2 linked regions of the Stegostoma tigrinum genome follow. The protein of the gene in region 2 interacts with the protein of the main gene of each other region in a pairwise test. Links are inferred from orthologs where the notes say so. Each region holds a gene or a part of one and is shown on either strand. Other genes may lie near its edges.

The links. The genes of interacting proteins can lie anywhere in the genome.
Region 1: the proteins of KH domain-containing, RNA-binding, signal transduction-associated protein 2-like (region 2) and protein-tyrosine kinase 6-like interact in binary tests that used the Homo sapiens proteins (3 or more experiments, as listed by UniProt). The two-hybrid records come from large-scale screens. The link is inferred for Stegostoma tigrinum from reciprocal best matches to the Homo sapiens genes KHDRBS2 and PTK6.

The regions. Positions count from the first base shown.
Region 1 is NC_081372.1:28,830,778-28,838,671, forward strand, and holds the start of protein-tyrosine kinase 6-like, read left to right. Parts: upstream 1-4,799; 5' UTR 4,800-5,049; coding exon 5,050-5,411; intron 5,412-7,894. UniProt on the Homo sapiens protein: Non-receptor tyrosine-protein kinase implicated in the regulation of a variety of signaling pathways that control the differentiation and maintenance of normal epithelia, as well as tumor growth.
Region 2 is NC_081357.1:91,081,078-91,088,830, reverse strand, and holds the start of KH domain-containing, RNA-binding, signal transduction-associated protein 2-like, read right to left. Parts: upstream 3,529-7,753; 5' UTR 3,347-3,528; coding exon 3,256-3,346; intron 1-3,255. UniProt on the Homo sapiens protein: RNA-binding protein that plays a role in the regulation of alternative splicing and influences mRNA splice site selection and exon inclusion. Binds both poly(A) and poly(U) homopolymers. Phosphorylation by PTK6 inhibits its RNA-binding ability.

The sequences.
Region 1 (7,894 bases), on a different chromosome or scaffold from region 2:
CTGTCTGTTTTAAGAGACAGAGTGTGAGTGGTTGGTGGAACATTTATGGCCAATCTGCTCTCATTAAGCCAAAAGGTTGCTATCAGATTTTAATGATAAGGCATCACTCCATTTTAACAAGCTTTTCATTTTTCACTGCTGTCAGTTCCTGGGCCTCATGAAACCTGAGAGTCAACAGGAGATAAACAGGGCTGGAACCAAAAACCTACAGTGCTGCTTGAGGGCCAGGCAGAGCAGAAGCATTTATTCCAACGTCAACCTCCAAACCCCTCACCACTCCCATTAGGTTCACCTGCTTCCACCTCCATAATCACTGACTTGCTTTGACTACTATCTCACTCCTCCTCTGACTGCCATCTTTCTGCTCTACTTGATTGTCATTTTGCTCCATACAGTCTCTCCCACCAATTGCAAAGTCATTCTGCCTCCCTGCTGGTTCTCTGCTAGGATGTGTCCTCGTGCTGTAGGCATTGCCAACCAAAAATGTAATACATGGGTTTCCTCTTCCATAACATAGAACAGAATCCAAAAAAAAATCCCAACAGTGCGGGAGCAGGCCATTCAGCCCATCAAATCCACAATGCTCATTGCACCTAGTCTAAACATCCCTGGATACTATGGGCAACTTAGTATGGCCAATCCACTTTACTTGCACATCTTCAGACTGTGGGAGGAAATCAGAGCTCCCAGAAGAAATCCACGCGCACACAAGGAGAATGTGCAAACTCCACGCAGGCAGTGGCCTGAGGCTTGAATTCAACCCGGGTCCCTGAGACTGTGACACAGCAGTGCTAACCCCTCCCACCTTTTTTTTATATTTCTCTCTCCATCCCCTCCTCCTGCCGCTCATTCCCACAAAATGGTGGATTCATGCCCAAACTGATTGGCAGCTGCTCTTTGAGATTACTCCAAATGCATGGTTGCCTATAAATTGAGGCCTATGTTTCGGTTAAAATAGCAGACAGAATTACCTTTCACTGCTTGCAGAAGAGTGCAGGCTTAAATTCTGAACAGTTCTGAAGAAGAGTCACATTAAATATGAGGTATTAGTTCTGTTTCCCTGTCCACAGATGCTGCAAGACCTGCTGAGTTTTTCCACCACTTTCTGTTTTTGATATTTGAAAATTTTCAGACTGCTCAATTGTAAATTTCTGAACAAGGAAGATAATTTTTCAAGTATTACAAGTCCATAGTTGTTGCCAATAGATATCTTTATTCAAGACATGTTCCCATAAGTGTGATTCTTTGTGACTTTTGTTTAATTTATCATTATATTCTGCTTCTGATTGAACTGAGAATAAAAATGTAATTGAAAACCTCTTTGCAGTTATAGTCTGTCGCAGACACTTTGTGATTTGTTTTTCATTTAATATCATAACATTTGCTGTGGGACCAAAAATGATTGGGTTCAATCTCTCTAGGTGCTAAATGACACCTGTAATAGCACATCAGTTAGTAAAATAAGGTGGGTACAGAAAAGTGAAATTCTGGACAATGACAACTGAAGTCCAATTTTCCAGCCAAGTTCCTAATTGAGAGATAAGAAATTTGTTTGAACATTGAAATTTAGCATATATTATGGCCTAACTGGATATGTTGACATCTCATTATTACCTTATTTCATGTCACGTATGTCGTTTGCAATTTCCCCAGCCTGTGGAGAGAAACCAGACAATGACAATCCCCAACATGAGAGTCAGAGCAGGCACCTGACTAGGCTCTAACTTATCACTTGCCCTTCCAGACCTCCATCTTGACCAGCAGTCCCCAACACCTCAAGGTGCACTAAATGGGCAGTAAATACCTGCTTCCTTTATCTATAGAGGTTGGCATCAAATGCAAAGCAACTGGTCCACACCTCTGTTAACTTGTTTCCATTTGCAATCTGTTCATTTAGATGAGAACCAATCAGTTTCACTTTTAAATAACTCCTCAGTTCCTGATTGCCTGCAATTGTAAGGACACAAGTCACAAAGACAGAGTTTGCAATAGACAATGAATTCCTTTCCACAAAAAAATTTGGAGGCGTTCTGGTAAATCCTTGATTTTAAAAATTGTTCTTTCTCCTTGCATCCCACATTTTTAAGGACACAGAAACAAAAGACACAGTTCTCACACTTCTGATCATCATTTCAAGTCATGTGAAAATAAAACTGATTCACTAATGTTCTTCTAGAAATATCTGCCTCTTCTTCTACAAGACCTCAGTACGCAGTGTGTGCCTTGCAAGTGACATACTGTTGAATAATTGCTATTAAATTCATTAATTGGTCTGGCTTACATGTAACTCTAGATCCATGACTGTCCTCTGAAGAGACAGAACTCGAACAGTAATTTAGCATTAGCCTAGGCACAGAATGAAACAATAAAGCCACACCCAGTCAAACTTGTAAAGCTTTTCTAGCTAACATCTGGGACATTGTCCAAAACTAGCAATAGCTTTCCCACAGGCTAGTCAAGCCTGACATAGGTTCACATCTTTTAGCCAACCAGCATCCCTTCATATGTCATTTTCCATGAAGTTCTGTGGCATTTGATCATTACGAACTTGAGCAACTGCCTATTGCTCCCCCTCATCCTTTCTCCCACCCACAGTATGCCCCAGTGCCACACAATATTACTATTTTATAGAAACAGATGTAGACCACATTACTCCAGAAGCAAACATACAAAATGCTGGATGAACTCAGTAGGTGTGGCAGCATCTGTGGAGAGAGAAACAAAGTTAATGCTTCAAGTCCAGTATGACTTCTTCAGAATACTGCTCGTCAAGCCTAATTCCTCATTCAATACAATCAATTTTTACCTTAACTTCACTATTCCCGTCCACCTGCCAACTCATTTGATTTACTGAGAGATGAAGTCTCTGAATATATTCAAGGTTGGAAAAGATAAATGTTGAAGCATTCACATCCATTTGAGGTGAAAGAATTCCAAAGATTCACAATCCTTTGAATGAAGAAATCTCTCACCTCATTTCGAAATGATCAAGTCCCTATTCAGAGGTGTCAGCCACAGCAACTTTCATGAGAAGGATGCACCAAAATAAGACATGGAACACGACCGCTGCTAAGGCACAGGCCATTTTTTTTTAAAAGAAAGGAATGATATTGGAATAGGCTTGTTGAGTTGGCACTTTCAGGTAAAAAAAACTAAAAAGAAAGTTTTACATTTGTGTAGCACTTTTCACCACCACTGGATGCCTCAAAATGCTTTACAGCTAATGAAGTACTTTCAGTGTAGTCACTATAGAAATGCAATTTACTTCACAGCAAGATCCCTCAAACAGCAATGTGATAATGACTGGATAATCTGGAGATATCAGAGGTAACTTCCTGCCATGAGATCTTTTACATCTACCAAAGCAGGCAGATGGCACAGAAACAAAGTTGCTGTAAAAGCTCAGAGATAGAAGGAACTGCAGATGCTGGAGAATCCGAGATAACAGGGTGTAGAGCTGGATGAACACAGCAGGCCAGGCAGCATCTTAGGATCAGGAAAGCTGACATTTCAGGCCTAGGCCCTTCCTCAGAAATGCTTGTTTCAGGAGTCGCAGGGAGAAACGCTTCTGAAGGGTCTCAATGTTCTGAATGTAGATATTGTTGCAGTTGGGGCCAAATTGGGAAGGCTTGAATGTGGGCTGTAGCCTTGCTGGAAAAGCTCAGCAGGTCTGGTAGCTTCTGTGGAAGAGAAAACAGAGTTATCATTTCAGGCCAGGTGACCCTTCGTCAGAACTCAGCTTGCTTTAATACCTTATCATAAAGACAGCCCCTCTGATGGTGCAGCACACCCTCGGTACTTTGCTGGAGTACTGAGCAGTAGCAGCAGAACCATCCCTATGGTCAGGTGAATCAGGACAACTGCCCAGGACACTACACTTTGGGGGAGCCTGCACCAGTATCATAGGTAGCTGGAGTGATAGGTGAGAGTGATACATTTCCAGTTTGGTTAGAAAGCAGTAAGGCTTCTTCAATGCAAAGATGCGTCAAGGAATTCCAGCCTATAATTCCAAGAGGATTGCAATATAATTATCGAAATCTGGAGCAGTATGGAACGCCTTTTATGGTAAACACAAAATTCTTGGCATTGATCATGATTGGTCAGTTTTGTGTTTGTTAAAAAAAGAGCATAAGAAATAAAAGGGGGTTAAACAATTTACACTGGTGAATGGTAAACACAATGAATTGGAACTTGCAGACTCAAAAACTGGTGTTTAGAGAAGCGTGGGGTATGGGGTGGGCCGCACTCTGTGATCTGCCTCATCCCGTACAAATCTTTCTCCACCCCACCCCAACCGCACACTGCCACCGGGGGTGGGGCCCCACCGCCAACCAAGTAGAAGCCTTGACTTTTTTTCTAATGAACCTGTTTGGGCATGGTATGACACACATCCATGCTATCACATCCAGAGGGGAGAGTTGACCCAGACCTTCCAGGCCAGACACAGGGATGCTACTACTACACCACAAAACCTTGATCATTAATGCTTACGTTCTGGAGTGGGGCTCAACCCTTTAACCTCGTGACTTAAAGGTGAGGTTGTTACCAAGAGAACCACAGCTAAGTTGAAGCTGTAGTGCAGCGTGAGGAGGAGTTCTGGTACAAACAGTGATGTGGGACTAGCTGCCACTTGTTGGGTGCTGGGATGATGTGGTGTTGGGGCCAGAGTGTTGAGGTGTTGTTCCTCTGCAGTGCCGATGGATTAACCTAAGGATGCTAACAATTATTACAGTGGCTGCCGCTTTTCAAATTTCCCCAACATAGACAACTCGCCTTCTTCATTCCATCTTGTCTTCACGCTCGTTGGATTTAGGCTCCAACTGGTAAAATATTCTTGGCATTTTCGTTCCGCACAAAGTATGGACACAGCCCAAGGCGTGGTTTAAATAGCATTGCCTTCTCTTAGAACACTCTCTGATTACATCAATGTAAGTAACGAGGAAGTGAGATGGAAGCTTGCATTTTCGAAAATGTAACAAGCAGGACCTCACCATCGTCCCTGGAGGTGGAGAGGGCAGCAGGGAGAGAATCTGAGTAGTGTTCACCTCCATGGCCGAAACCTTACAAAGGATCTGTCCCTGTTTAAATTCCATGTGGAATGTAATCTTCGCTTCTAGACAAAGCCCTGAGGGTGACGGAGAGAAGAATTTACCACAGCGTCGGAGTTCTCTGGTATCTACGCCGAAGGAGAGCGGGGGCAGCGTTTACACGGCGCTGTATGACTTTAGCGCCAGGACAACTGAGGAACTGTCTTTCCAAGCCGGGGATGAGTTTGAAATCCTTAAGGAGGACGACCGTTCATCGGGAGCTTGGTTGTTTGCAAAGAAACGAACTCATTCCAAGGGCCATAGCTGCACGGGATATATTCCTTTTAATTATGTTGCTAAGAAAGAAAGTGTAGCCACTGAGCCGTAAGTGCTTTCAAATAGTTTTCACAGCATTTATGTCTGTAAATCGATTTGCGAATTGTACTTCAAGACTGACAAGTGATGCTGGTGGCTGTTCGATTCAGAATTTTCTAATTGCTGAATTCGTTTGAGAGAGGCAGTTTATTTGGGGTTTATGACCTTAAAGGTGTCAGTGAGATGGGCAGCTTGGCGAATAGTGAGGCAGAAAGCCGGAGATTGCAGCTGTCAGTGGAGGGGTAAGGACTCCGATAAGCGCTATGTGGAATTTCATTGGGAGGAATAAGGTAATGCACTTGGAAAGAAAACAAAACCATGGTAAGGAGTTGCACAATGACTTGAGACTAAAGTGTAGAGGTACAGCGGGACCACTATGTCCACAGATCACTGCATAAAGTAGGATAAGATGTAGTGTGGTGGAATTCTCCCCACTTACCTGGAGCACTGCAGCTCCAACAACACGTTAGGAGTTTGACATCACAAAGCAGCTCGATTTAATCTGTATCTCATCCACCAAGTTAATCATTCGTTATCTCCATCACTGACACACACTAGCAGCAATGTATACCATATACAGGATGCATTGCAACAAATTACCTCGGCTCCTTTGACAGTAGTTGCTAAACCTGTACCTTCCAACAGACACATGGAAGTCAGACACCTGCAAGTTCCCACCAAGCCGCACAACATTCTACCTAGGGACTATATCGTCATTCTTTCACTGTCTCTGGATCAAATTCCTCTTTCCTTAACCTGCACAAGATAGAATGCAACAATTTAAGAAGGTCGCTCACTACAACTGGCTTCAAGGCATTTAGAGATGATAGGCAAGTGCTGGCATTTTCAGCAACATTCACACTTGTGAATAAAGAATTGAAAATGTTGTTGAAATAAATGCAAGGTACTTTCATTTACTTGATGAGGCCTAGAGTATAAGATAAGAGAGGTTATGCGAGGTCTGTATAAAACATTAGTTATGAGGACGTTACTGGCGAGACAGTATTTATTGTCCACCCCTAATTAGCCAGAGTGCAATTCAGAGTCAATCACATTACTGTGGATCTGGAGTCACGTGTAGGCCAGAACAGGTAAGGATGGCACTTTCCTTCCCTAAAGGACATTAGTGTACCAGATGGATGTGTTCCACCAACAATTGATTCATGGTCCTCAACAGATTCCTAATTCCAGATATTTTATTGAATTCAAATTCCACCATCTGCCATGGCAGGATTTGAACCCAGGTCCCCAGAATTTTAACTGGGTTGCTGGATTAATAGTCCAGCAATAATACCACTGGGCCATTGCCTCCCCTTTTGGCAGACTAATGGTAGAATTCTGGTCACAGCCTTTCAGTATAGAGAGTACAAAGAAGAATTACAATTTTTGCTGTGAAGAAAGACTAGAGTTGCATTCTTTGGAAGAAAAGAGCAGACATGTTTAATAATATTATTAAATATAAATAATCATACTTAACTGACATGCTTAATATGAGTTATTTGAGAGTACCTATTGCTCTTAGCGGAAAGGTCAGCAACTATGGAGACTGATTTAAAATAATTGATAGGATTAGAAGGGATGTACTGAACCTATTGGGCAATAGATTAAGTGCTGAAAGTGGGAATTGACTGGATAATTCCCCTCATGACACAGGTATGATGGGCTGGATGGCTTTTTGAGGAACATAAGAAATAGGAGTAGGCCATTGGGTCTGTTGGTTCCTTTTTAGTGCTATATATATCTGTGATTTTGAAATTTCATCACTTCATGCAGTTTTTTGCCCATAAACAAATAAAAGAGCTGATGATATTACAAGCAAATGATGAATGTGTTCATGTGCAGTTTGCCCTTTGTTTTGATGAATGTGTTGGATCCATTTTAAAAATGACATTAGAAAATAAATAGAATTGGAAGGAGGCAGAAAATAAGCAGAGCTCAATCATGCCCACACCAGAATTCCAAATATTGCATTTGAAATTTGGCCTTAACATCAATACTTGGAAGTTCAACATGGTACTGGCAGTTTACATACACTCCTGATTAGAAGATGAGAAGGATGAGGAGGAAGAAGGGAGGAGGTGGCCTAGACAGGTTTCTTTTTGGCCAGCCTAGGGTCAGCTTATTCACAAACAAAACCCCAAATATCCTTTTATCAACAGTACCTGCTGTTACCCTCTCTCTGTTACTGACCGTCCCAAAGTTTGCTTGATCACAATATGAAAATAATAGCCAGCACAATATAAACATTCTAAACAAAATTTACAAATCAAAAGTATTCTAAATTGCACACAAAAACCAAAAGTTGTACACTGTGTTGTGCCTGTCTGTTACATGCTTTTATCTGTCCAAGTTGCCTTTTGCAGAGCTATCCCAATGGTTGCATTGTGCCGAGTGAAAGCCCACTAATTTTCAGTGAAGGCCTTGGAGGGCAGCTTTAAGCAGCTTTGAGCTCCAAAGACCAAGCTTCAGATTTCAGACAACAGCAAGGACAT
Region 2 (7,753 bases):
GGGCAATTAAGAGTCAACCACATTGATGTCACTCTGGTGTCAGATGCAGGACAGACCAGTTAAGCAAAGCTGGTTACCTGTCCCTAAAGGAAATTAGTGAACCTAAATGTAGAGCAAATTGCTGCAGATGCTGGAATCCATATTGAAAACCATATATCACAGCAGGTCAGACAGCAAGCTAACGTTTCAACTATAGATGACTCTTCATTAGAGCTCTGATGAAGAGTCATCTAAACTTGAAACATTAGCTTGTTCTCGCTCCAAGGATGCTGCCTGACCCAACATTAGTGAACCAGTTGAGTTATTATGACAACTGTTGATAGTTGCCATGGTCACCAACACTGAGATAATTTTAATCTGCCAACTTTATTCACAGAATTTAAGTTCTACCAACAGTGTCTCAGAAGAATTAGCTTTGGATTACTAGTCCAGTGACACTATCACTATCCAAATATATCTCATTCTCCTCATTTACTCTACGTTGAAATAAATTCCACAATCACAGCATTGTCTGGATAAATTGGTTTCTCTTGAATTTTCTAGCTGATTTATTGGTTATATCTTATAGCCATTTGTTTCAAACGCCTCCACAAGTGGAAATACCTTTGTTACATGGATGTTTTTTTAAAAATCTTCTTTGAGTCCTTTGTCCACCTCAGCAACATGACTTCCACCCTGGGTAAGGCAAGGAACCAGATCCTGAACCTCTCCCAGCTGAATCCTGTTTATTAGCGTCAAACTAATCACAGTGGCCATCCAGCCAACTGGTGATTATCTAATTCAATTCTGAAAGCCAAGTCTGAATCTGCCAGCATTGGCACGCTCAGGCAATGTATTCCAAAATCATAAGTCAATTCTGGCCATGCTTTTATAGGAGGAAAGATGTTGTTAAACTTGCAGGTGCAGAAAATATTTACATAAATGTTGCCAGAACTGGAGAGTTTGAGTTATAGGTAAAGGCTGAATAGACTGGGGTTTCTTTCCCTGCAATGTCAGAGGCTGAGCAGTGACCTTATAGAGGTTTATAAAATCATCGATAGGGTAAATAGCCAAGATCTGTTTCCTAGGACGGGGTGTCCAAAACTAGGCTTAATGTGAGAGGGGACTGCATCGTAATGTAGGGAATGAGCTGTCAGAGGAAACGGTAGAGGTGGGTATAAAACAACACTTAAAAGGCTTCTGGATGGGTGTATGAATAGGAAGGGTTTAAGAGAGATGGGGTCAAATGCTGGCAAATGGGACTAGATCAGATTAGGATGTCTGTTCAGCGTGGACGAGTTGGACTAAAATATGTTTCCATGCTGTATGATTCTGACTGTGACTCTAGATCACTCTCTGCAAGGTAGATCTTTCCCATGCACTGCTGCTTCATTTAATCAATTATTTTAAATTGGTGCCCTCTCATTCTCAATCCTTCCATCAATGGAATCAAAAGTGGTGAAGAGATTTTGTAACGAATCAAATATTTCTGTTGCATTTAATTATGAAACTTGACTCTTGCAACCTGTGAATCCTCAACATCAGGCCTTGTATAGGTTTCTTAACTGCAGAGTGACAGAGCCCACCAGAAAGCAGAGCTTGTTTAAACCAACTGCCAATGTGTGAAATGCAGTACTCCTGAGGTATTCATAAGACAAAAGATATATATTTGACAAATACATTCATTTTAATATTGTTGAAAACAGACAAGTGGCCAGCACAGAACTACATGATACAAAACCAGCTTAATAACCATCCCCAATAAATGTAAGGTTTTACTTCTTATATCATCCTCAAGAATTTCTTTTTACCATCTTCCCAGTTACCTCTGTGCCTTTTTCTGAACAGCTAACTGATAACAAGAGCTACAGATTTGCTAATCACATAGATTGCCAGGTATCAACTCCATTCTGCAATCCCATCCCCACACCTGTCATAGTTGCAAAAGGTCAGTCCTATCCTTTAATAGCTGGCAGTGGTTAGTTCCAGGAATTATTCAACAAGACTTTGGGTAGGCGAAAAGAGGGAAAAATGCCACTTCCTTGCAATTTCTCTTGCAACGGAGAAGCTATCTGTCTCAAAACATGAATTAAGCTTCAACAGGCACACCACTGAAGGACATGGATTATTTTGGTAGGGAGAATTGAAGGTTGGGGAGGATGGAGGGGTGCCTTTGATCTCCAAACTTGAACTGTCTGCCTGGTTTGCACGTTGCTCTGCTGCCCTCTGTAGCTCAGAGCCAGCACCCAATTTGAAGCTTCCAAACGGCACTGGGAAGCTTGGGCTGGTTTCATAAATTTTTAAGACACATTGAATAATTGAGCACATTAAAAAAGAAAACCATCATCATCAGAAGTTGCAATGTAATGACAGCAAACAAAACTCAAAATCTTCTCTCACACATTATCAAGATTTTCAATCTTTAAGCTACAAAATAGATAATCGTTCTTCATTTATGGATTAGATTTTGAATCCTTAGCATTGAGCTTTGCTTCTGCTGATCTATACATGTAGACACATTCACTCAAAGACAAACACAGTAACACATTCAGAGACGTACAGGCACAGACAACATATTTTCAAAAACAGGTACACATAGATGCACATACACTCACAGATACACAAAATACAGGTATGCACAGAGGCGCATGTGCTCAGGCATACAGGTATGCACAGAGGCGCATGTGCTCAGATACATGCTCAGGCACACAGACACACACTTATCAGAAGATATATACCGAAGCTGACACAGCTACTGTATAAATTTAAAGACATATTATCACAGACATACAGATAAGCAAATATTTAGGCACACTTCCTGACACACACACACACACACACACACACACACACACACACACACACACACACACACAAGTAAGCACACATTCCCAGACACATACCGATATTTGAATACCAAACACTGCTCATTGTTGACTCTCACAAATATATCTAAGCACGCAAAGAGTTCACAGCTGTTAGCAATACCGGAGCCAGGACGCAGCTCACTTAAACCTGCAGCAACACCTGTTAGTCACAACTGAGGATTTGTGTAAAAGGACGATTTATGTAGCAGCACCCTAGACACACACAGGAGTATCACTCCATCACTACACGCACACGTTTCTAGGTCACTCGGAGGGAGGCTGCTGGTTTTTTTTAGGGGAAGGAGTAGTAATTTTGCAGATCAAAATACAAAGATGTGGATCGTTAAAACATCCGTCAGTGGAACAAGTAACGTGCACAACACGTTCAATTGTCGGTTGCACAACTTACCTTCAGTCAGCAGACGCGCAGCATGAACAAAAGATGGGTCCAGAGTATCTTTCTCTGCCATCAGCTCTGGCAAATATTTCTCTCTCTGCATTTTGCTCTCGTTTTAAACAAAAAACCCAAAATATATCGAAACAGAATTACAATATGTAATTCAAATAATATTTATTACTTTGCTTAAATATAAAGTCCAGAGCTAGTACTGTAGCAGTCAGTGAGGCTTATCTGTCAGTTTACCCGAAAGAGTACACTCACTCGGCCGCACTGACAGCGTTTACCGACTCCAGCAGCGTCCCTATACAGCGCCCGCCCCCACAGCCCACCTATTGGACAGAGCTCCGGACACCCGGAAGAGGCGCCGGATGGTTATTGGCTAACACCGACTATCGATCAACGTGAGTGACAGCTTGCCCATCTTTTGTCCCGTTCGCATCTCCACAATTCCTGCCTCTTTGCCTACGCCTATTTTTATACACGCAGAAACATGTAATTATGATTTTCCATTCCACAACAACTAAGAGAGCCCTTGTGCAAAGCCCTGCCACTGCTTAGTCCCCATGCTCTGCCGCATGGCTGCCGTCAAAACAACTGCCAAAGTTGTTTTTCTTTGCATGTGAGAAAGGATCTTGCTGGAATGGGTCAAAAGTTGGTGCATAACTGACATGCCTGAAAAATGCTGATCAACGCATTAAGCTGGAAGTGACATATCTATCTCTGCCTCTCAGAAGCTGACTGATTATTAACGTAACAAGGCTGAACTCCACATTCTACACACTGCATATACATGGATACTAACATCAACGTTGGCTTTACCTACCAAAACACAAACGTATATATACTTACGACAAATTTACGTCTATCTTGGATTACAACATTCCACTAAATATGGAATAGAATAGTGTAGGTTAGATGGGCTTGAGATCCATATGACAGGTCGACACAACATCGAGGGTCGAAGGGCTTGTACTGTGCTGTAATGTTCTATGTTCTAAAGCTTTATCTTATGAGTTGAGTGCATGCCCTAATGCATTGTAACTCTGTCAACAGTAGAAAAAAAATGAATATTTTAATATAACTCGCCCAATCCCATTTGCACAAATTGATTGGGGAAAGGTGAGCAGGCACTTTTTGATGAGTTTAAGAGAAAGGCGTAGACATAATGCTGCCTTCAAGCAAGCTATCCTCTTCCTCGATGGAGATATGGCCTATTTTGGGAAAAGGTGGGGGAACATGTATCTACTTCAAAAGAAGTTCCAAATGGGAAATAAATGTTCATTTTCTAGCAAGTCCTAATGACAAAGTTCATGCTACAGCTTAGGAAACAGCAGTGGCCTTGCTCCAAGTCAAATTGTCAAAGAAAGATTTCTGCATCATCCTTTTTGTCTAGACTATCGTATTTTCAGTTGGTGTTGAAAATGCGTGAATAGCAGTTCCTGCACTATCAAAGCATAGGCGCAAAGTACGGAGTGATGAGATTTATTCTAAATACGAGTTGTTTATGATCGGATATAGTAAGAACTGCTGATGCTGGAGTCAGAGATAACAGTGTGGAGCTGGAGGAACACAGCAGGTCAGACAGAATCAGTGGAGCAAGGAAGCTGACGTTTCGGGTTTTCCGTTGCTGTCTGGCCTGCTGAGTTCCTCCAGTTCCACACTGTTGTCTTGTTTATGATTGGAAGTACGCTACTGGAAATGGTGGCGCAAGCAGACTCAATAGGAACTTTCTAAAGATAATTGAATGAGTGGGTGCTTTGAAAAACTGCAAGAGGTGGAGATAACTGAATAACTTTTTCAGAGAATCAGCAGAGGCACGATGGGCTAAATGATCTGTTTTGTGATGACCATTTGATTGAAGGTAACTCAGGGCAGACACAAAAGATCAATACTACGGCAGAATGGGAGTTACAGTTCCATCTTGACCTGAATTCAGGTGCTGGGAGTATTACTTTTTCCTTATTTTTTCATCATGTGTGGGCATTGCTGGCAGGGCCTGTATTTGTTGACGATTGCACTTTAACTGAGTGGCTCAATAATTAAGGGCTGAAGGCATTGCTGTGAATTTGGAGTCAGATGTCAACCAGACCTGGTAAGAATTGTAGATTCCCTTCCCTAAAAAGACATTACTGAACGAAATGTTATTGTAACAATTGATGATACGGTACAATGGCAACAAGTCAAATTACAACAGGTCTGGCCACAAATTTGTGTTAAATAGAGATTAAAGTTAGCCGAAAAAGGCCCTATATAACCCCATAAAAACCGAAAGTATTGTGGATGCTGTAAATCAGAAACAGAAATAGACATTGCTGGTGAGCTCAGCAGGTTTGGCAGCATGTGTGAAGAGAACTCAGAGTTAACGTTTCAAGTCTGGTGACCCTTCTGAGAACTGTGGGGCAAGGGTCCACCGGACCTGAAACGTTACCTCTAAATTCTCATCACAGATACAGCCAGACCTGCTGAGCTTTTCCAGCAATCTCTACCTTTATTCATTTAAAATCCCAATCGCCCCCAAATATACCGTATGTAAGAAAGAAAAGAAACGGTAAGTGAAAAATGCCTTTATTTTTCAAGTTGTTCATACCTTACAATGGCCTGTCCTTGTGCTGTAAGAGACATTGAAAAACGATGGGAGTTAGCTGTGGAAATCTGAGTAATATCTTTCTACTTAGCAGGCTGTCTTCAGAGAGGATCAATGAAGTCAAACGTGTTTTTTGTGTTTCAGTGAAGTAGTGAAAAATCCTGGAGCATCTGTATAACACCTGTGATAGAAACTGGCTTGTGCATACTTTTAACATCATTTATTTCAGTGTGAGTTTCAATTTTAAGTTACATGTAGGTTTTCCACGCGCCTGAAGTAAATAATTAACTTGTGGTATTTCTTTAAACATGGCAATTTATTTAAAAAGTATTTGTGAAGGCAACTGCAGCAGTCCATGGGGGCTGTGTCTATTTTACAGATTTTCTGACCTAGCAAAATAAACAATCATATCTCAAGGATTTTGTTGGAAATTTCTACATTGGGAGTATTGTTTTAAAAATACCCATAGTAGTGGGAGAAGATTTGTTCCCGTTTAACTTTTTTTCTGACATTTCTGTGAAGTTCTTGCATAGAGATGCATGCATAGTACTCCTGAAAAGGGAGAATATCATGAACTAGATTACCTCAGAATAAGGAGTTAGTGATTGTCTCAGACCAGTAGTGTTGCACTAAAACCCCAGAGGACTTGAATCTGAGTTTGTTTAACTCAAGTGCATGATAGGTCCATGAACAAGCTAACAGTCCTTTCATTCTCAAAGGTAAAGTCAGAGTTGTCTTAGATCTAGTGAGGTGTTAGAGAGAGTGATTCTGGTATGAGTACTGTACAGGGAATCATGTTAGTTGCTGTACAAGGGATTTTTTTAAACTCGTAAGGGAACATTTAGACTTAAACTTTTATTGTGTTTGAAACTCTTTTAATTTGTTTTAAGTAAATCAGTTAGTTTGAACTATATTATCTTAAATTCTGTTGCTTAATAAATTTGTTTTTATGTTAAAATAAAATCTGCAACTTTGTGTGTTCTAGTCTTAATGAGAGACCATCTAGTTAAAATTAAATCAAAACAAAACAATGATCAATCAAGCCAGATTTCAGCTTTATTTCAGTAATAAGATCAGCTGATACCTTAAAACATCCTTGTGATTTCAGCTTGGAAAACAGGTGGATGAATTGGTCAACAGGGTGATAGTTTGCTGTTATATTTTGTGATTTCCTGGCCTCTAACATACTGGAGGTCATCTAATTAGCCTCATATTGTGTGGGTAGCAGCTTGACATTTGCAAAGCAATGTGGCTTTTCCATCTTTCCAATCACAAGAAGCAGTAGATTTTCAGTGCCACTCACATTGGTGAAGACCGTAGTATGTTTAGTTTCCTTCTAGTAAATGCTTCCTCTTTGAGCAGTATAGTGCAATCTGATAAAACACAGTAAAACAGTCTAGTTTCAGCCATGTTAAAAATGTCTTGTAGTGCATCCTTGTTCAGGACAAGGGTGAGATCACTTTGTGACCATTGCTGCAGATTTGTCTGTGATTTTGTGCTCCAGCGTGGCCTCACTCCATCACAGTGAGTTGGCGTGGTGATCTGGAACTTGGATTATCACAGACATTTTTCCATTAGATTTCCTATTTAGTCAGTGGGAACGGATGACAAATTGACTGTGACCAGAGTTTCAGGTGATATGAATTTGACTCATGACGATTTCACTGCAGTCTTCTGACCAGTATCACTGAGCCCGGTTTTATATTCCAACATGTTTATTGATGGAACATAAATTTTACTAGCTAAAATGCTGATGGTGGGATTTGATCTCTTGTACCCTGATCTCGTTTGGGTTAGCTAGTCCAGTGATATTACCACCACACTACCAATCCCCCAAAGTCTAACTGCGCAAAAGCCTAACTCATTTGAAATTTTCAATCCTTATAGCACCCTCAAGGTTAGTAAGTCATGCTAAATCTCTAA